Canis lupus familiaris: one gene and its partner. The protein of the gene in region 2 interacts with the protein of the main gene of each other region in a biochemical or structural test. Links are inferred from orthologs where the notes say so. Each region holds a gene or a part of one and is shown on either strand. Other genes may lie near its edges. The genes, in order: RANGRF and RAN.

Region 1 (9,865 bases), on a different chromosome or scaffold from region 2:
TCTGCTTCGCCGCGCTGGGACTGAGGTGTTAGTGGGCCGCGAGAACGGAGGTATCCAGCAGGCTGGCGGGAGAGGTCTGGGATGGAGATGATCTGGGAGCCCCTGGTGTATGTACGTACGGAGAAGGTCACCTAGGAGGTCCGGCAACCGTGTTTAAGGGGTTGGCAGTAAAATTAGGAGGCTCAGTGGCTGGCTTCCCACCACCTGAGTCGCGGGAATATCCTGGGATGCCCTTGGGAAGGAAGCCAGGGCAACAGAGGGCCTAGGGAGCCAGCCCAAGCCCTCCACCGCCGAGTCCTAGCTCTGCTGACCGAGGCAAACTCTTCTGGCCCCAAGATCCTCTCCCAACTGAGTGCATGCAGCCTGCCCCCACCCCCAACACTTCCCCTGTGGCTGGTTACAAGGAAGTGATGTATTAGCTAACTAAAGCAGATGAAAAGCACAAAGTTGTGTGGCACTTTGGGGGCTGGGGCCCCATGGATTCCCAACGATACCTTCCAGAAGGTTCCAAGGGAAGGAATAGGGGGCTTCCCCCACCCTCCCACCCCTACTCCCACCCCGGGGGTTAAAGACACAGGGACTGTAGCCCGAGGAGACCCCTCCTCACCCATGAGAATGTAACGTACCTCCCCCTCCCCGTGAGGATCCATCAGATTCTGAAGAGCTGCCACGAGACCCCTCCCCACACCTCCTCCCTCCCTCAGAGGCAGGCCAGGCCATGGGGGGTGGGGGGAGGCGATGGAGGGTGGGGGATGTGTGCTACAGCGTACCACCTCTCCCAAGTCACCTCCTCCTCCTACTTCTGGAACAGATGCTGAGAGACACATGTGAAATGCAGGAGGGCCCGTGTCCATCGAGAGGTCAAAAGTGCGGGCTGCCAGAACCAAGCTAGGAGAACATGACACTCATTCGGAGGGCGCATGCCCTTTGCCAGCTCCAGGCAGAGGGTCCTGAGGAATGTCGCTGAGTATGGTCACTTGGTGCACTTGTCTCGGTGTCACTGGCTTGGACAATCCCACACCCAAAAGGAGGAATGGCAGGATCAGAGGGGCTGGACTCTACCTCTGGGAAGTGGAGGCAGTAAAGCACCCAGTCTTGTGACTTAGGGGCAAGAACAGAGGCCCTCTCTCCTCTTTGCCCTGTCCACAACCAAACCCTTCACTGCCTACTTCTGTCGGGCGTCACCATTCTTCTTGGCCTGGCCACCATCTTTGACACTCTCTTCATGCTTCCTCTACGCTTTGCGGACCCCCCAGACTATGGCTTCTCTTGCTTATTGCTTTTCTGGCTTCATCTCTTCCTCTCCTGTCTCTCTACGAGCTTAGTGTAGACCCTCATCCCCCTGAACTTGGGATATTACCGACTTCTTATTCTGTTTCACCCTGACTGGTCTAACACCAACTGCAATAAGCATCGGATGCCTCAAGGTACAGTCTGTTTTCCACCAGCCAACACTCATTTCAGATGCCAACCATAAATCTTACAAGTCCCTAAGTAACCACATCTCTGGCCAACTGGCTATAAATCCCACAGTTCCTGAAATGCCCAGAGGTTCAATAATTCACTGAAACAACTCGAACTAAGGGAAGTACTATACTTTTGATTGCTGTTTCACTCTAAGGACACATAAATGTAAGATCTGGAAGGGTCCTGGAAGGAGAGCTTCCAAGCTCATTCCCTGACACATCAGTGTGTTTGCCATCCAAGAAGTTCCCTTGAGCCTTGATGTCCAGAATCTTTATTGGGGCTTGCTTTTTTTTTTTTTTTAAGATTTTATTTATTTATTCCTTCATTCATCAGAGACACACACACACAGAGAGAGAGAGAGAGAGAGAGAGAGAGAGAGAGGCAGAAGCAGGCTCCATGCAGGGAGCCGGACGCGGGACTCAACCCCCCCCCCGCCAAGGGGCACCTGGGTGAGTCAGTGGTTGAGCATTTGCCTTGGGCTCAGGGCGTGATCCCGGGGTCCAGGGATCGAGTCCCGAGTCCCGCATCGGGCTCCCCCCAGGAAGCATGCTTCTCCCTCTGCCTGTGTCTCTGCCTCTCTGTGTCTCTCATGAATAAGTAAATAAAATCTTAAAAAAAAAAAAAGTGCACAAGTCCTCTCCAGTGTCACTGTTTCCAGCTCCTGCCACCTGTCCCTCACTGCACCCTGGCCAAGCCAATACACTTCCATCTCCCAAGATACGCCCTTTCAAAAGTTCCAAGTCGGGATCCCTGGGTGGCGCAGCGGTTTAGCGCCTGCCTTTGGCCCAGCGCGCGATCCTGGAGACCTGGGATCGAATCCCACGTCGGGCTTCTGGTGCATGGAGCCTGCTTCTCCCTCTGCCTGTGTCTCTGCCTCTCTCTCTCTCTGTGTGTGTGACTATCATAAAAATAAAATAAAAAAAAAAAAACTTAAAACAAAAAAACCCCAAAAGTTCCAAGTCTTTGCACCTGATATTCCTCTGCCTAAAACACCCCTAGGATGCCCTGGTGAATTTTGGGTCAACCTTTAATACTCAAAGTGTTCCCAGCAGTCCTTGGTGAGGCAGGGATCATGACCTAACTGCCTTTGTATCTCCAGCTTCGGTAAGGGGCCCCAAAATGAGGAGTCCCCTGGCCCCAGGGCCATGAAATCATTAGGGTCCGTAAGTAGAGGCAGCACTTGGAACCCCGTGGGTAAGGCGTTTATCCATTCATCCCACAATACCTAATGGCCCTGTTATGTTCTGAACACTGGCAGGCGCTGGGGATTAAACACGAATGGAGAAATCAGCTGGGAGAATGTAACTGGGCGAAAACTTTTGAGAACATTCTAAAAAATCAATGAAAGAGAAACAACAGAGGGTTTAATCCGTGTTTTCCTCCAGGTGCGTGTGGGGGCGGCCAGCCTCTCCACCCCACCCACCCCCACCGAGTTCTCAAGGCAAGATTTGAGACGGATTAAACGCCTAATCCGCGGGTTGGGTCTCGCCTGCAGGAAGGGCCTCACACCTGGCCCCACTGTTCCCCTAAATCCCCGCATCCGGGGAATTAGCGGTCGGGTTTGCAGCTCGCTGCCTCCAAGTCCCCCCCAAGAAGGGAGCTGCAAGACCTTCAAAGGTATTCTCCCGATTCAGGAGACCCCACCCAGACGTCAACCCCTTGCCCGAGCAAGGGTCCCCAAGGAAGGTCTCAAGCGACAGTCTCAGAAGGCGCGACCTCTTTAAAGAAGGGAGACTGTGGGCGCGGGCTGGAGGGCACCGGGCGCTCACAAACCCCGGCGCCAGGGTCGGACCTCGCCGCTTGCAGCCCGCGGCAGCCCCCAGGTTCCGCCCCCGCGAGAGCCAGGCTTCCGGGAGCCGCCCCGCTGGGCACCGCCCCCCAAGGCGCAGACGCTAATTGGCCAGCGCGGCCGAGGGGGCGGGGCCAACCCGTAAAGGGGCGGGAGCTAAGGTGGACCGGAGGCGGCGGCGGTGATGGTGATGCCGCGTGGCCACACGTGAGTTTCTTCTATATCTCTCTGATGCCCGCACCCAGTCCCAGGCCCATGGAGCCCACGCGAGACTACCCGCTGTTCGGGGGCGCCTTCTCCGCCACTCTGCCTCCGGGGGCCCTTGACGTAAGGTGAGAAGGCGCGAGCGCCGCGGACCCGTCCGGTGGGATGAGGGGAGAAGCGAGGGCTCAGCCGGTGGGGGGGGTCTGCCTCGACTCTCTCCAGCGACCTGCGACCGGTCCCGGACAATCAGGAAGTTTTCTGCCACCGCGTGACTGACCAGAGCCTGATCGTGGAACTTCTGGAGCTGCAGGCCCACGTGCAGGGCGAGGAGGCTGCGCGGTGAGGGAGGCGGCCGCCCGCGCGGCTGGCCAATGGGAGGGCCGGAGCCGAAGAGGTGGGCGGGGCCTGCGGCAGGACGGTTAATCAGGGCCGTGAGACAGCCCAAGGGCAACACCTTATCGCGGGAAGTGAGCGAAGCTTAAAGGGCTCGATGATGCTGGGCAGGAGGGAGTGGGCGGCCGGTCACCGTCCCTCCCTGACCCCGCCCGCGCCCCCTCCTCTAGGTACCACTTTGAGGACGTGGGCGGGATGCAGGAGGCTAGGGCCCTGCAAGTGGACAGTGTGCAGCCCCTCCTTTCGGAGAACCTGGCTCTCCGGAGCTACTGTCAAGAAGCCTGGGTCCTCTCTGGCAAGCAGCAGGTAGCTAAAGAAAACCACCAGGTGAGAGCACGGGAGTGTGAGATTCCTGGAGGGGTGATGGGAGGGGCCCTGGGGGGCGGGGTCAGGTAAGCATCTTGACCCTGATCCCTTCAGGTAGCAAAGGACGTGATGGTGCACCAGGCTTTGTTGCGGCTGCCCCGCTATCAGACTGATGTCCTGGTCACCTTCAATGAGCCCCCGTAAGGAGGACAGAAAGGACACATGGCTCATGACTGGGTCCCCCAGGAGGATCTGCTGGGAGGGGCAGAGCGGGGAGACTGGCTGGTGGGGTCCTCCAAGAAAGAGGGAGAGGGCCAGAGGCTTGGGGTCCTCCTGGGAACAGGAAGTGGGACTGTCACCACCTGAGGCCTGGATGTTGTTCTTTCTCCATCTGTTCCCCCACCCCCAAGCCCTGACAATAGGTTATCTCTTGGTCCTGAAAATCTGTCACTTCTGCCCTGGAGCCTGGGTGACTTTGAACAGCTGGTGACTAGTCTGACCCTTCACGATCCCAACATCTTTGGTCCCCAGTAAAGATGCTGAAACACTGCGTAAAGCTGCTGAAGCACACAGGGACCCCGTTCTGCAAGGGGACCAAGGAGTTGGATATATGCCCTTAATTCCTTCCCTGTGCATAAACATAAGACACCTCCTGTCTGCAGAAATAAACTTGCTTTATAACGAAGATAATATCTCTGTGCCTTGCTGAATCCAACAAGACACCTGGGTCCCCCCTGGTTCCTTTTGGTCTTGGAGTGGGGGGTTAAAAGTTTGTGCATAGGATCAGAAGGGGACCCAAGGCCATCCACATAAAAGGAGGGAATACTTTGGAGTGATTGGCTCTGCCCTGAGAGAGGGGGTGTGACGTGTCCAGGAGGATGGGTAGGGAAGGTTTAAAGTGACACCCAAGGAAGGGAGGCAGACTGTTCCTTGTAGTGATTTAACCCTGAGAAAACAGATGGGGAGTGGTGTTGGCTGTCCCCCTTGGGTGGATGACAGGTCACCTGGTCAGAAGTCACCAGGATATAGTAGTGGAGGCAGAAGTGTCCAAGGAGTGCTGATTTGGTGGTGTGTGCAAGAGTGGCTGTTGTCATTTGGTGTACGTGTAGTAGAGGGTGCGTAACTGGTCCCAGAAGAAGAGGGAAAGGATGGTGTGGGGGCCAAGGCGGAAGTAGGAGGCACCTATACCCTTGTACATGCCAAAAATGCCCTCTGTCCGAGCAGTTTGCAGCAGAGCATCCAGGATCCCCCGGTACATGAGGCCCTGAGAGCGGGTTGAGAGGGAGGGAGAGCACAGGGAAGGAGTCTGTCAGAGCCCACCAGGGGCGTCATCTCAGCGGGCTGCATTTTAGGCTGTCCCACCTGCACCCACAATTTGCTTTCACCCACCGCCTGGCCTTCCCTGCCTGCTGGCACTCCAGAGTACCCCCTTACCTTGCCCCGAGCATCTGTGGGCTGGTTGTAGAGCCTTGTACTGGCCACATCAAAGGGTGTCATGGCCAGGACCACTGCAATGCCACTCACCATGGCAGCCACCAGAGCAACCTTCCAGCTCTGGGGAGGAAATATCTAAGGGTGGAGGGAGGAAGAGAATTTTGTCAACCAATTGTTTAACCCCTGGGAAAGAACGGGGCCCTGCCCTGGGGATAGAGTAGAGAGCCTGTAACTCAGGGAGCTCCCAAGGGCAGGATGCTCCAGCACTCAGATGCACCATCTGGGATGAGGTGACAAGAGGATCATGGGAAGGGCGTAAAGAGTCTGTGACCCTCAAGTCCTCCTGCCATTCCCTCGCATCGAACATCACCATGCGACATTCATGGGCCCCAATTCAGCTTGCCCTCCCACTGCCCGCACCCCCAGTGTGGCCCCATCCCTTTTGCCGGGCAGTACCTCCCACTGAGTGATGAAGTCCTTGGTGGATGAGAAGGTGCAGAGCTGGGTGGAAGAACCGATGATAACTCGGGGCAGGCCGCCCAGGGCCCCACGCCACAACCCCACCAGACCATGTTTCTGGCCAATCTTGCTTAGCGCCTGAAACATGCCCTGGTAGGGGGAAGACCACGGGGGCGGGCTTCAGTCACCCCGGCATCAGGGAGCTGCCACCTAACCCTGCCAAAGAGGGGTCTTGAACGGGCACCCGGTGTCTGGACAACCAGTTCCATGTGGACTTAGATTTGGAATGTTTCTATCACCCGCACTGTTCTCTTCCTCACCACTCCACAGGAGGGGCAGGGGGTGGGTGCTGAATCGGTGGGCTAGGCAAGCCATGGCTGCCTTGCAGCAGTTGGGCACAGGCAGAGAGCTGCGGGGTGGGTGGTGCAGGAAGTGGGGGGAACGGGAAAGAATGGGCAGGGACCCCAGTAGGGTTGGAAAACACTTACCTGATGCTTATACTGATGTCCTACAGCAATTTCTGAGGCTGCCTGTGCCTGCAGGTGTGTCTTTACCTGGGGACAAGAGAATGTCATGGCCTACGGCCCAGTGGTCAGCCTCCCACCTCAAAGACTTGAACGCCTGACCCTATCACACTTCCTCCAGGGTGTTCAGCAAGGAGTATCCTTTTAATCTGATCATTGTTGTTGTTCCCACTTAACACGTTGGTCATGAGACTCTGTGTCCCTTGGCTCCGGTCCCAGGGGATGGATCTCCTAGCACTGCAAGATACCCCACGCCCTCTACATCTTCCTTCCCTTGGGGGTTGAGTGGGGGATGGACAGGTTAGAGAATGGCAACATTTCCTAAGACTGTCCCTGTTAGGCAGCACTTGGGTGTCTGGCCTCTCATGTCAGCTCCTATTCCCAGACTGGATCTCTAGTTACCACCATGACCAGACTCCTCCATCCAACTCTGGGGCAGGTTGCCGTAAAACTTGCTCTCTGGCTCCCAAGCCCCAAGGAGGCATGTGGAGGCTGACTTTGGAGGGGTCACTGTTTCTGAATGTCATATCCTAGGAGTGAGACCAGACTTGCCTCTCTTATAGAACTGCCTGACCGCCAGTGTCTTCCAGGAGGAACACTAAGCAGAACCTAGTCCTAGCAGCAAGCAGCTGTGTGACCTTGAGCTGGTCACTTCCCTTCTCTGGGCCTCAGGCTATTGATCCTTTACCTATTCCAGAAAACTCAAAGGAGGAGACTGTGGGATTATAATTCTGTGGTGCCCAGGACTCTCCCTCATCCCTACACCCACTGACGATGTTACTCAGATTCTTCATTGTTCCCTGCACAAACCCACTTCCAATCTCAGTGTCAGATTGTGAAGGCCCAGGCCCCACCCTACACCAAGGGTCTGCCTGGAGGCCCCAGGCAAGACCCTTCCTCTCACCATGTAGATGGGGCTCCCCAAATAGGCTCCCATGACCCCAGCCAGGGCCCCAGCTGCTGCGCTTCGCGGAGGGCTGAGGGTGCCTTCGGCAGTATGCAGGTAGCCTCTGGCCTCAGCCAGGCTGTAGGTGCCCAGGCGGATGCCATTCATCAGGAACTGGTATAAGAGGGCAGGGGCCAGTCCCTTCTGCAGGGCAGCCAGGCCATCCACCCTGCCGATGGTGATGAAAGCGTGGAAGACATTTCGGTAGTGCCGCTGGTAGGTGCCGGGGGCCTTCAATTCTCCCTGCAACTGCATCCTGGTCTTTACCACCTCCAGAGGGTTGGTGAACACACAGGCCCCGCAGGCTGCCAGGCCGCTCATCAAGAAGTCCATGGTGGGGTCGCAGTGACAGGAAGTGACCCAGGAGTAAGAAAGTAAAAATGAGCCTCAGAAATGGAGTCAGAACTCAGGGGGTAGGCCTCCGTCTTGGCAAGTTTGGACTGCAGGAGGCAGGAACTGAGAGATTTGGGGTGAAGAATGTTAGGGTCAGATGTCAAGAGGTCAAAGGTTAGCTGGAATTTGGGAGTCAGGAGCTGGCAAAGAAAGAAGGAAAAGGAGTTTAGGAGAGTCTGGTGGGAAGGTTATGGCAGTGCCCCGTCGGTCACGGGATCCGAGGTCAAGGAGGGGCAGAAGCCAGGCGGATGGCAGGTGGGATGATGGGGATGGTCAGCCACGGGCCCGGGAGCAGAGAAGGGAAAGGCGGATTGGGGCGATGGGAGCCGAGAGAGAGAGGAAAAAGAAAACCAGCAGGTTACGGAGGAAGAGGATCCGGGAGGAGATCGGTGGCGTCTGGATCGGGGGTGGGGGTGAAGGAAGTCGGAACTCCGGGCCGGGGATGATGTCCCCAGGCAGCTGCCGGAGCTCGCAGCAGCTCGGCCCGGGGAGCCTGCGGAGGCCGGGCCGCCACACTCCAGCAGCGGAGCGCGGCGCCCAATGGGGAGCCGAGGCGAGCGGGGGCCGGCAGCGCCAGCCAATCAGCGCCGAGCCAGCTCCGCGGCCAATGGGAGGCGCCCTCGGCGGCCCGGCCCCCGGAATCCGCGTGGAGAGCGTTGGAATTAACTCTCCCCGCGCCGGCGCCGGCGCCCGCGCCCCAGACTCGGGGCTCCGGGAGGGGCGCCCCGGGGGCCGAGCGGGGAGGACAGCTTGGCGAGCCGAGGCCGAGAGCCGAGGCAGCAGCCCCCTACTGGGCGGGGGATGGTGGTGGGGTGGGGTGGGGTGTTGGCGCCGCTCCCGGGGCAGGTGGAGGGCGCCCCTCCCTTCCCTCCAGTCCGGGTCGGCGGCAGGCGGGGACTGCCAGCCTGCGGATCTGCTAGCTCCCCCCCCTCCCCCTCCCCGCCGATTCTGGCGCCAGGTGAGCCCGGAAGCTGGGGCTCCGCCCACAGGTGCGGAGGGGACACACCTGCTGGACCGGGCCGATCTCTAAGGCCGGCGACCGGATCCGTAGGTCCCAGAGCCAGGGTGTGGCTGGCTGCGGGCAGCGAAGGATGGCGTGGGAGCGCACTCACAGCCCTGAGCTCTTGATCCTCGCCGCAATCCAGAGAAGGGCGGACCCGGGCTAGACAGGGAGGTTGATCCCCGGGTTTAGCCTTCCACTATCAGCTAGCGGTGGGAGGGCGCCTGGGATTCTGGACTCCTGTCCTTGCTCGTGAGTCTGGTAGCTGTTAATCACGGGTGAACTGGTGAAAGAGGCTGGGGGAGCTAGCCACTCCGGGAAGGGCTTGAGGGAGAAAGAAGGCTTGGAGAAAGAAAGGATGAGGCAGGAGGAGGAGGAGGAGGAGGCGGCAGAGGCTGTCTGCCTGCGTGTGAAGCAGCCACCACATTTAGACTCAGAGTGCCCTTTGGAGTTCCTGTGTGTGTCTATTTGCTTACCAGCTAGATGACCTTAGGCAAATTATTTAACATTTCAGAGATTCTTTTGTAAATGGGAATGCTAAGTATCTATTGCTCTTACCTGGGTGCAAGTGTTGGACTCCTACTAAGTGCTCAGATAGCAGGTTTCCAGAAAAGTCACAGGCTGTCAGACCCCTGTGACACTTGCATATCCTGTTTCCACGGCTGGAAATGACTCTAACCCCCTTTGGTGATTCCCAATCCTTCCTCACCTTGAGCTATGTCTCTCCTGACCCTGGAAGCTTTGGCAAGTTCTCCACTTTCAAGCTGTTTCCCTCTGGCTCTGCTCCTCTAACAGTTATCCACATTTCTCATTTTAATTAGCAGTTATTTACTGTCTGACTCCTTCCCTACCCAAGGAGTTCTTAGATACCCCCTGGGGACTGGGTCTGAGTCCTCTCTATCTCGCCATTGTCCTGCTACCACATTGAGCCTTAGGGAGACTGGAGGGGT
Region 2 (10,585 bases):
TCAGATCGTGATCTCAGGGTCATGGGATCGAGCCCTGTTTCAGGCTCGGCACTCAGCAGGGCATCTGTTTGATATTCTCTCCCTCTACCCCTCTCCCTCTGCACTCGTTCTCTAAAATAAATCAATCTTAAAGAAACAAAACAAAACAAAAACCCCAAAACCACAGCTGTTTGACCAGCATGGAGGTGAAAGAGCACAGCAGTTCTAAGCATTTGGAAATAAATTCCCTTTTTAACTCTGGAAGATGCATGGAGAGGAGGAACATGCAGAAACGGGGCTGACAAGGCCCATCAGCTGCTACAGCCGCCCAACCACACTACGGGTTCCTAGCAATTGTCAAAAGTGGTGTAAAACTATCTGGCCTAGAAACACCCATAGTAAAAGTGAAAAACGATCACAAAACAGTATTTTCCATAATCCTGCTTTTTTGGGGTAACATCTCACAGAATACATGAGCAAACATCAAGTTACCCCCCAACAGTAAGAAATATGATGAGTGTATGTTTCAACTGTCCAAATCCTCAACTTTTAATGTATGAAGTATGTAACTATTTTCACTTTGGAGGAAAAAATAGATGTGTCAGGGAATGAAGAGTGAAAAGCCAAGTTCCCTCACCTCAGCACTGCCCATCTGTTCGCCCAATAGTGTGGCTTCCCAAGGATCGGACACTGATGTCACATGTCAGTAACCTCAGGTATCAGTAATCTCCCACGGGTGCTATGGCTCGGGGCGGCAGGGATCCTGCCCTTTCACCTACAGGGCAGACGTCCGTGCAGCAGCTGAGCTGTTGCACTCAGCCTCAGTGTCCACCAGCTGAGAGGCCGAGGACAATGAGATGTCTGTGGGACAGGGAATGTTATTCAGCCTCAGGAAGGGGAATCCTACCGTTCAGACATTGATGAAACCAGAGGACACTGTGCTCAGTAAAATAAGCCAGATGGACAAGCGGTGTGTAGCTGTGATTCGACGTGAGATCACACTGAAAATGGATTTCCAATGATCTTATTACACAGGTAACAGAGGTGGACATGGTGAACGGTGGTAACCAGTCCACGTAAATCAAGCTATCACGTTGCACGCCATAAACCTCAATTTTGGTTGCCCATCACATGTCCAAGAAGATGGGAGGAAAAGGAGTTAATAAAAAGTTGGACCCTGGCATTCAGTATACGTTCATTCAGGTTGCTGCTGCACGTTTGCTGGACTAGTGGTTTGGTCATGACCATATGTCAACCTACCTTCCCTGCAATATTACAGCATGGAGGGGACCTCAGTGGGCTGGGACTGGATGGCCACTAGTTCCTGGGCACCCACGCCTGCTGCCAGGACAAGCTTTAAAATGCTTCTGGATCCCTCGGGTTCCCACTGTGCACTGAATCCTGGATTTGCTGTTGGGCTCTGGACACCCTCCACTCTCCAGCTGGCCACAGGGCAGGGCTGTTCCCTTCACCTCAAAGCCTTTTCTCCTCTCTCCAACCCCTTCCCAGGGACACAGCCCCTTTCAGAGGAGTCTGGTTCCGCAGATCAGCTCAGTATGGTCCTTGGCTGCCCATCTCCCCACTGGGGCGCAGCATCACCAAGCACACGGCTCAGGATGTGTGCAATCCTCTGCCTACATCTTAAAAGGACAGCTTACCTGTAATGGTTCCTATTGTTTTTTTTTTAACTTATTCATGAGAGATGTGAAGAGAAGGAAGGCTCTTTGCGGGTGGGGGCGGGGGAGCTGAGGCAGGACTTGATCCCAGGACCCCGAGATCACGCCATAAGCCCAAGGCTGACACAACCACTGAGCCACCCAGGCGTCCCTCCTACTCTACTTCTTGAAGGCAGGCAACTGGAAGCCGACTAAATCCAAGGCTCCCCTCCTTCCACCTCCCACAGCGGAGTGGAGGCACGACCGACCCTGGATCCCCGTGTCATCATGCACACTTTCCCTAAGACCCCAAGCTGGGATACATGCAGAGGACACTGCAAACTACAAACTCCAGGGAGACCCTCCCCGCCCCCACCATTCCACCCAAACCTCCATGTTCTCCCCCTTGAAACCTCTCGAAAAATGTAATGGGAAGGACAGGGCAGAGCAAGGAGCATCCAGTGAGGGGGACAAATCAAATGCCAGCTGACCCTTCCACCATGGCCACAGGGGCAGCTGAGCCAGTGCACATTGCCATATGAGACTACAGGGGCAGGGAAACATCCGCCAGGGACACAGGACCCTGAGCATGGTCTGCAGTGCTTAGGCCCACCTTTTACTCCAACAAGGCTCCAGGTCTCAAGGTCAGGGTGGGGGCACCTGTCTCTTGTCCCTTTAGAATCAGGCACAAAGCCTGCAGCCCCAACATGGTCAATGGTGTCACACCTGCTGAGGCTGGTCCCACATGTATACCTAACCAAGCCAAACCAAAGCAACCTTCAGCCCTGTGTTCACCTCATTTCCTAAGACTAAAGTGATGTTCATAAAAAACAAATTCTCAAGTTGCACTTCTCAATCAAGAAAGTAGTTTTTTGAAGTTTAATATATTTCTGCAAACCTCTGCCCTTTCCTGACCTGCCGAGAAGATGAAGAACCCACTGTGTACACTGATGGGACCAGACACCTTGCCCTCATCTTACCAGTGCTCTGTATTAATTCTGCTTCATTGTGAGGTCACCAAACAGGACAGACGCCACCCAAAGGAACGAACTCTCCACACATGACATGAAGCAAACTGTGCTGGCTCTCACTGCTTGTGCTTGGACAGACCTGTCCTTGTCCACGTCAACAGAGCCACGGCACAGGCTCTCAATTCAACGCTCCCCCATCACATCAGATTGCAATAAATGGAGGGAGAAGCATCCCCCACATGTATAACCTGCAGAGAAACACACCCTCACACGAAGGGAATCCCTGCTAAAGATCCAGCGTTTCCCAGGGAGTACTAGAGATGATTCAGAAAATCCAGACAAAAAGAAGCAATATATTTTGCAGCAAATTTTTCTTTCAGTAAGACTTGTGAATTCTCTCCCATCCCATTTTCAACAGGTAAGTGAAGTAGCTTCCAAATTTAACAGTTACATTTCAGATTTAGTCACGTCACACACACTTGCATTCCACACAGGTCACAAACACATATGCCTCCTATTACGTATCTGAAAAAGGTTTCATCCCAATGATGGGAACGATCTTTTCAAGTCACTTAAAATCTGGTTTTGAACCTAATATAGTGTAACATTTACAGTAATTGAAGTACATCTATTGATACATTTACTCAATATTGAAATTTATTAAATTCTACCCTCTGTATTTCATTTTTCCATATATTTAAGCAACCCCTTCCTACCTTCTTTTTAGGTAAGAAAGTAACCATTTAAGGAGAAATGGACATCTAAGGAACTTTGGTAAACAACCATAGCAGTGCTCAAGTGAGCATAATAGTTTAAGACTCCTAACTGCTACAGTATAGCATCCATGGGGTCAAAACTGAAGACAGACTCCACTCGTTCTTAAATGTGTAAATCATACAAAGATAAATGGTTTGATCCAACGAAACCTTTGCAATGTTTCACGTTTCAAGAAGCCATTCTAAGATCTACTTTTCTATTTAGTGTTCGTGCCTTTGAATTGGCCACAAAAATCCTTCAGAAAAAAAAAAAAGCATCAAAGCTGTGAGATGCCCAACTTAAATCCTTACTCTTCAGCATCTTTAACACTCAGAAATACTTGAAAGCAGCGGGTAATCGTGGAACATCTTTCTAGAGTACCAGCTTCACATTAGACGTTAACATTAAAACAAAATCAAATCAATGCATAACTTACACTCATTTTTAACAAATGAGACTCCTGTCAAGTCCCCACCGTCATCTGTTATCGTTCTACCAGATTCTGAACATCCCTACATGAGAGCACGGTTACTGGTCACAAAATAATGTTAACTGTAATTCTTAAAATGCCTATCCGAAACGTCTAGTAGTTTTGTTCCAACAGGTCACAGAAGTCCAAAGCTCTTCCCCAGGTGACACCACCCAGTCTGAAGGCAGATGCGACGGGCATCGTTTTAGCTTCACCACGGATGCTCACCCCTCTAACAATCTACCAAACGGAATACTGCGGATGTCTGCCCTGTCACCTGTGTGAGAGGATCCAAATGTACAAATAGACAAGAACTTAACCTGCAAAGATTCAAATTAAGGGAGAATAGCAAAGGCCAGTTCAACAGTAACGTGGCACAACTTTTCCTGTTAGTGGTTTTAAGATGCTTACCAAACAAGGGAGGAGTTCATTGGCTTAGATATTTGAAATACAACTTTATTCTGATTCTAAACGAAAAGGAATGGGAATGACAGTGACAAACGAGATTTCACCACTGGATATTGTGATGGGACTGTAGCAGTCTCATTATCTGAAACTCAGGAAGGAAACAACTGCGTTCCAAAACAGCTAAGTATGCAGGTCCAAAAAAATGAAGGTACTGTTTAAACTGCCACATTCACTCCGAAGCCCATTCATCTCCTTCAGCATCCCAAAGATTAAGCACATGTTCTGCTCAGCTATATAATAAAAGTGGCAAACACGCTGCACCACTGACATCACAGGACAGTTGCCTATAAAACTAGACTTCTGACGCTGGCCTCCAGCTGCACTTCTCACAGGTCATCATCCTCATCCGGGAGCGCGGTCGTCTGAGCAACCTGGACAGAGACACAACGTCAGGACACCATGGGTTAGAGCCGTCAGGACACGGGACACCCAAGAGATCCCACTGACGGACCCATCTGCCACCTACCTCTAGATCGTGCTCGTACTGTGCTGCCAGAGCTGGATCCATGACCACCTCTGGGGGGGCAAGAGCAGGCATGGCGACAAACTCCAGGTTAGGGTCTCCAATTAGTTTTCTAGCAAGCCACAGGAACGGCTTCTCAAAATTGTAGTTACTTTTGGCAGAAATGTCATAGTACTGTTCCATAAAATAAAATAAGTTTTTAAAAATCTACTTCTTGAGGATCATTGAAATGTTTAAAACTAAAAATAGTTTTTCCATCCATACCACAGACACAATTTCCTTTAGTGGATCTATTACCGTAGTTTCATCTTAGAGAAAAACAATTAAGTTTTAAAAAACATACCTGAAGGTTCTTCTTTCGGTGGAAGACGATAGATTTTGCCTTAACTTTTCTGTCCTTAATATCCACTTTATTGCCACAGAGCACAATGGGGATGTTCTCACACACTCGTACCAGATCTCTATGCCAGTTAGGCACATTCTTGTAAGTAACCCTTGACGTTACGTCAAACATTATAATGGCACACTGGGCTGAAACAGATGTAGGAAAACTGTTACACATGTATGACTTCTTGCACAAATGAGGAATGCTAAGGAGCACGGGCTAGGGGACAGGCCCAATCTGGCTACCTCTGCTTCTGCACTCACTACACCCCAATGTCTCTCTCTTCCAAGTTTAAGGATCTCCAACCACTGTAATACGTAACAAGATTTAAAGTTTCATTTTCTGTGTGAGTGTGAACTACCAGCCTAGCTTATCAAATCTCTCCCGTAATACTTCATTAATTCCGTCCCATCCCAGAATCTCAAGTAGACTACCGATAGAGCAGCACCCTAAGACAACTGGTCTCCTCTATTCTGAGGATCTCAGAACCTGCTCTTTAAATGATCCTAAACTACACAAAAGAGTATGTTATTCTGCCTTAAAACACGCAGGCCTACATACTGACCTATGAGGAACACAATTCTAATATAATTGAGACAACAAACCGAAGTATGTACAGTCTAGGAGTTTCCTAATTAAACACTTTTTAAGAAGAGAAAAAAAAAGCTGTGTATCTGTAACATAGCAAAGGATGCAAAATATGGAAGGACTCCCAATCATCTTTCATCACAAGAGATCCCAGATGACATTTTCTTCCTGTCTTTATCTGCCACTCTACAGTGCCCTTGAGGGAAAAAAACAAGCAAAAAAACCCCCAACCAGCCCCAACGACTCCGGCAGCCACAGCAGCACCTCGTGGGATGCTCATTGTCTTAGGTGAGGAGCCCGCTCCGGGTCCCGGCTCCAGGCTCCAGGCTCGGCGCTGCGCCCATCATGACACAGCACGCGGCAGCCGCCGGCCCGCCCTCACCCACCTTGGATGTAGTAGCCGTCCCGGAGCCCGCCGAACTTCTCCTGGCCGGCGGTGTCCCACACGTTGAACTTGATGGGGCCCCTGTTGGTGTGGAACACGAGGGGGTGGACCTCCACGCCCAGAGTGGCTGCAACACAAGCACGGCCGTCAGGTCCGCTCGCGCCCCGCTCCCGGGGGCCCCCGCGGCTCCCCCCACGTACCTACATACTTCTTCTCGAATTCACCCGTCAGGTGACGCTTCACGAACGTGGTCTTGCCGGTGCCGCCGTCGCCAACCAGCACCAGCTACGAGACAGGACGCGGTCGCGGGGGGCGGGGGGGGGGAGGGGAGGCCCCGGCGCCCCCCGGGCCGCGCCGCCCCGCTCCCCCCGGCCGCCCCCGCGCACCACCCACCTTGAACTGGACTTGGGGCTCTCCCTGGGCAGCCATAGCGCTGGTGCTGCGGGGAGACAGACGTGGGACGGCTGGCGGCGGGGCCCGGGCCCACATGGCCGGCCCGCCCCACGTGCCCGGGCCCACAAAGGGGCTCCGGCGGCCGGGCCCCACGCGCGCACGCCCGGGCCGGGGCGGGGGCCGCGGCGCGCTCCCGGCGGCGGGCGGGCGGGCGAGCGGCGCTGCTCCGGCGGCGGGTCTGGCGGCGCGCCCGTGGGGGAGGGAGGCCGGGAGGCCGGGGCGGAGGCCGGCGCGCGGGGCGGAGGCCGGGGCCGCCCGGGGCCCCGATCGCGCGCCCCCCGGCCCGCGCCGCCCCGGGGCCGCCGCCCGCCCGGGCCCACCGCGACTGGCGTCCCGGCCACGGTCTTCGGTCTCTACGGCAGGGGACGGCGAGAGCCCGCCGCCGCCGCCGCCGCCGCCCCGGCCCGCACGACTGCCGCCCGGCCCCGGCCCCGGCCCTCGCCCGGCCCTCGCCCGGCCCCCGCCCGGCCCCCGACCCCCCGGCCCCCCGGCCCCCCGGCCCCTGGCCCCCGCGGCCCCCGCGGCCCCCGGCCCGGCCCCGCTGCCTTACCTTCCAGAAGCGTCTCCGGCCCGTCTGACTGAGGGCTGGAAGATGGCGGAAGCGCAATTCAAATGCCCGGAGACGCAGCCGACGCCGGCGCGCGCCGGGGGGGGCGGGGCAACGGCGCCGCGTCGCTCCCACGTGGCCCGGCGTGCGCGCGCACGCACGCCGCGGGCTCGGCCGGCCACACCCGTCGGCCGGGCGCGGAGGGGAGAGTCGCGGCGGGGCGGCAGTCGCGCTCGGCGCGGGCGCGCGGACGCACGCCGGCTCGCGGGGCCACGTGCGCCGGCCCAAGGGCGGGTTCCAGCGCGCGCATGCGCCGACGCCGACGCGGCGCGCCCAGCTGCGGCCGCGCCACGACACTGGGAGGAGAGCGCAGGCCTCTTGGGCGGGAAAGTCGCGGGGAGCGGCCGACACAAAGCCCCGGGCCTCCGGGCGTGGGGCCTCGCCGTGGGCGCGCGGGACGGTGCGCCGCGGGGGAAGCGGGCGCGTGCGGAGGCCTTGGGCCCTGCCCCTGTGGCCCTGCCCCTGTGGGCTCTCGCGGCACCCCGGGCGCTCCGACCCGCACCCTCTCCCGGAGCCGCCCGTCCATCTGCCACCTGCCTCCCCCGGGCCTCCATCACCCTCTCGGCCGCTTCCTGCGCCCCCGGCCCGGCCCGGCCCCGGCCCTTCCTCCCAGACCCCGGTCCGCAGAGCCTGCCCTGGGCCCCCGCCGCACCCCCTCCTCTCACCTGGACCCCGCGGGCCCCTGCCTTGTGTTTCAGGCCCCCCCACCGCCCACACCCGGTGTCCCTGGCTCCAGCCAAAACCTTACTTGGGGGTAAAGGGTGCAAAATCGATGCTTTTTCTCACCCTAAAAGGCAGCCACCCTTTTGTTAAAGCATTTCCTTGGTCAGCAGCCTTTGTGACTGTATCCTGCGCACAGGATGACGAAATCGTGTTTTCAAACCTGGCGGCTCGCATCCCAGTTACAAATTTGGATGCAATCGATGAGTATGTAGGTTCCAGACTGTGGAGACAATAAAGCTGGCAAGAATGCAGACGAGATCCATGCACTCAGAAGTCACATGCTGCTGGGGATGCCCACCTCGTAGGGCCGGTGTAGGCAGAAAGTAAGATGAGCCACAAGCTCAGCAAGTGTTGACAGTTAACTACTATTCATTCTCAGCAAGGAAGTGGGCCAAGTGGAGTCCTCTAACCTCTTACCCTAAATCTAGGGCCAGTTTTTGGCATTTGTGTGGACAGCCACAGATTCTCCATAACCCAGATCCTCTCGGCCCCCTCTGCAAGCAAACATCCGCACTCGCGGCAAGAGTAGTACCGCTGGTGGCCCCATCAGAGTAGTCTGGTTGCTCAGGAAGGATTCCACCGTGGGGACTCTTCCCAGAGCGCAGAGAACCCAGATGACGGAGGAGGAGTTAGCCACTTAGTCTTCAGTGCCCTTTGCAAGCAAACCTATTGGGAACACAAGTGATGCAAATTGGGCACAACACTTGGGCGAATCTGCCTGCTGGGAACTCCAATCCCACTGCTCTCCAGGACCCTCAGGAAAACACCAAACAGATCTCTATGCTGCTTGGGTGTGACCATTGCTTTGGCCTCTCTGGAAAGCAGGAACTGATAAAACATGAGTGCCGAGAGCTGGCGACCCTGTAACTTCCACTTCTAGAGAGATTCTCTGGAGTTAAACTCACACATATGCACAGGGAGACAGTATCTCAAGCGTTCGCTACAACATTATGGCAACAAAAAATGCAGCTTCCAGAGATACCCATTGGTAGGGAAACTACAAATATTTAACTATTACAGTATGCCATCTGAAAGGAAGCAAGTTCATCTGTATCAACAGGGTTAGATCTCAAAGGATAATGTTGAGAAAGAAGGAAGTTCAAGAAAGATGTGATAATGGTCTTAAATAGTCCACAGTATATGTAGTTTTATAGAGAGATTGTACGGTACAATACCATTTATGTACACTTTTATACATATTAGTTCTTGAATGTTATGTAGGTAATTTTTTTAATTGATTACAACAATATACACGGAATCATGAAGCTGTTGTTTCGAGAGACAGTAGGAAGGGGTATGATGGGGCGAGCAGAACAGTCACAGAAGATTCCCTCTCTTCTGTTAAAAGAAGGTAATTGAAGCAAACAGGACAACATATTAACCACCGTGTAGCTCCAGGTGGTGAGAACACCGGTGCTCCCACCTTCTGGCATTTTTTTTTTAATTTTTTTTTATTTATTTATGATAGTCACAGAGAGAGAGAGAGCGCGGCAGAGACACAGGCAGAGGGAGAAGCAGGCTCCATGCACCGGGAGCCCGATGTGGGATTCGATCCCGGGTCTCCAGGATCGCGCCCTGGGCCAAAGGCAGGCGCCAAACCGCTGCGCCACCCAGGGATCCCACCTTCTGGCATTTTTGAAAAATATTTCTTCCCACCAAAAAAAAAATCCAAGAGGAAATCTGTCAAATATGGATATTAGTTGTTCTCCATGCTTAGCATTCTAAACGGAGCTCCTGGTGGTTTAGTTTGTTCATTAGCTGCAGATGTCATTAACTGGCCCTGTCCCAGAACTTCTGAAGATGATCATCTCAGAGAGCACATGAAAAAAATGGGAACACATACTCTGGCTGACATAGATAATGAGTTTCCCCAGTAAAACTCCCCGAGCCCATCCTTTTTTTTTTTTTTTTATAAGTTTTTTTTTTATTTATTCATGAGAGACACAGAGAGGTAGAGACACAGGCAGAGGGAGAAGCAGGCTCCCTGCAGGGAAGCCCGATGTGGGATTCAATCCTAGGACTCTGGAATTGTATGACCTGAGCCGAAGGCAGATGCTCAAACACTGAGCCACCCAGGTGCCTCTCCCTCAGCCCTTCCAAATGCTAATGACTTTGCAGTCCACAGGGGGTACTTCTGGTCTCTGCCGCACAACATGGATTGCAACTCCGTGCTTACCCGGTAATTTCAAACTTTGCAGCCAAATGCACTGAGAGGAAACAGAATTATAAAAACCCAGGGATTTCAGCTGTTACCTGTAATTTCCTCAAACATCAGCATTCCTCATTGGCCTTAGTCCTCCTCTCCTTCTTTCTCTCAGTAACAATCTCATTACATATATGATTTTAAAATATATATAGGATTTTTTACCTCTGGGATGTTTGAGAATATGCAGCATGCAGGATGCTCTTCTGTGTGTATTTCTTAAAACCAAGGACATTTTGTTACGTAACCACAGTTCCGTTACCCAAAGCAGGAAACAAAGCCATCTGCAATTGGATCGCCTCCTCTACAGACCAGAGTGCCAGTGGTCTCACTGCTGCCCTAGAGCTGGTTTGAGATTATTTGGGATTACATGTGACCCTCAGCTATTCACTCTGTGTCTTTTCCTTCAGTCCAGAGCAGTCACTTCGACTTTTATGCTTCTGCAGCATATTTTGTAGTCCAGGTCTTCTGTGGAATACC

What was found.
Region 1: the proteins of RAN (region 2) and RANGRF form a complex in vitro, tested with the Homo sapiens proteins (2 studies listed by BioGRID). The link is inferred for Canis lupus familiaris from reciprocal best matches to the Homo sapiens genes RAN and RANGRF.

What each region holds. Positions count from the first base shown.
Region 1 is NC_049226.1:33,286,279-33,296,143, forward strand, and holds RANGRF (ran guanine nucleotide release factor), read left to right. Parts: upstream 1-3,391; 5' UTR 3,392-3,487; coding exon 3,488-3,588; intron 3,589-3,682; coding exon 3,683-3,799; intron 3,800-4,023; coding exon 4,024-4,180; intron 4,181-4,273; coding exon 4,274-4,359; intron 4,360-4,569; coding exon 4,570-4,693; 3' UTR 4,694-4,844; downstream 4,845-9,865. Other genes in the region: SLC25A35 (solute carrier family 25 member 35), read right to left, coding at 5,594-5,728, 6,050-6,202, 6,541-6,606, 7,481-7,855. UniProt on the Homo sapiens protein: May regulate the intracellular trafficking of RAN. Promotes guanine nucleotide release from RAN and inhibits binding of new GTP by preventing the binding of the RAN guanine nucleotide exchange factor RCC1.
Region 2 is NC_049247.1:1,616,872-1,627,456, forward strand, and holds RAN (GTP-binding nuclear protein Ran), read right to left. Parts: upstream 6,561-10,585; 5' UTR 6,549-6,560; coding exon 6,513-6,548; intron 6,405-6,512; coding exon 6,320-6,404; intron 6,247-6,319; coding exon 6,121-6,246; intron 5,293-6,120; coding exon 5,105-5,292; intron 4,936-5,104; coding exon 4,765-4,935; intron 4,670-4,764; coding exon 4,625-4,669; 3' UTR 4,611-4,624; downstream 1-4,610. UniProt on the Homo sapiens protein: GTPase involved in nucleocytoplasmic transport, participating both to the import and the export from the nucleus of proteins and RNAs. Switches between a cytoplasmic GDP- and a nuclear GTP-bound state by nucleotide exchange and GTP hydrolysis.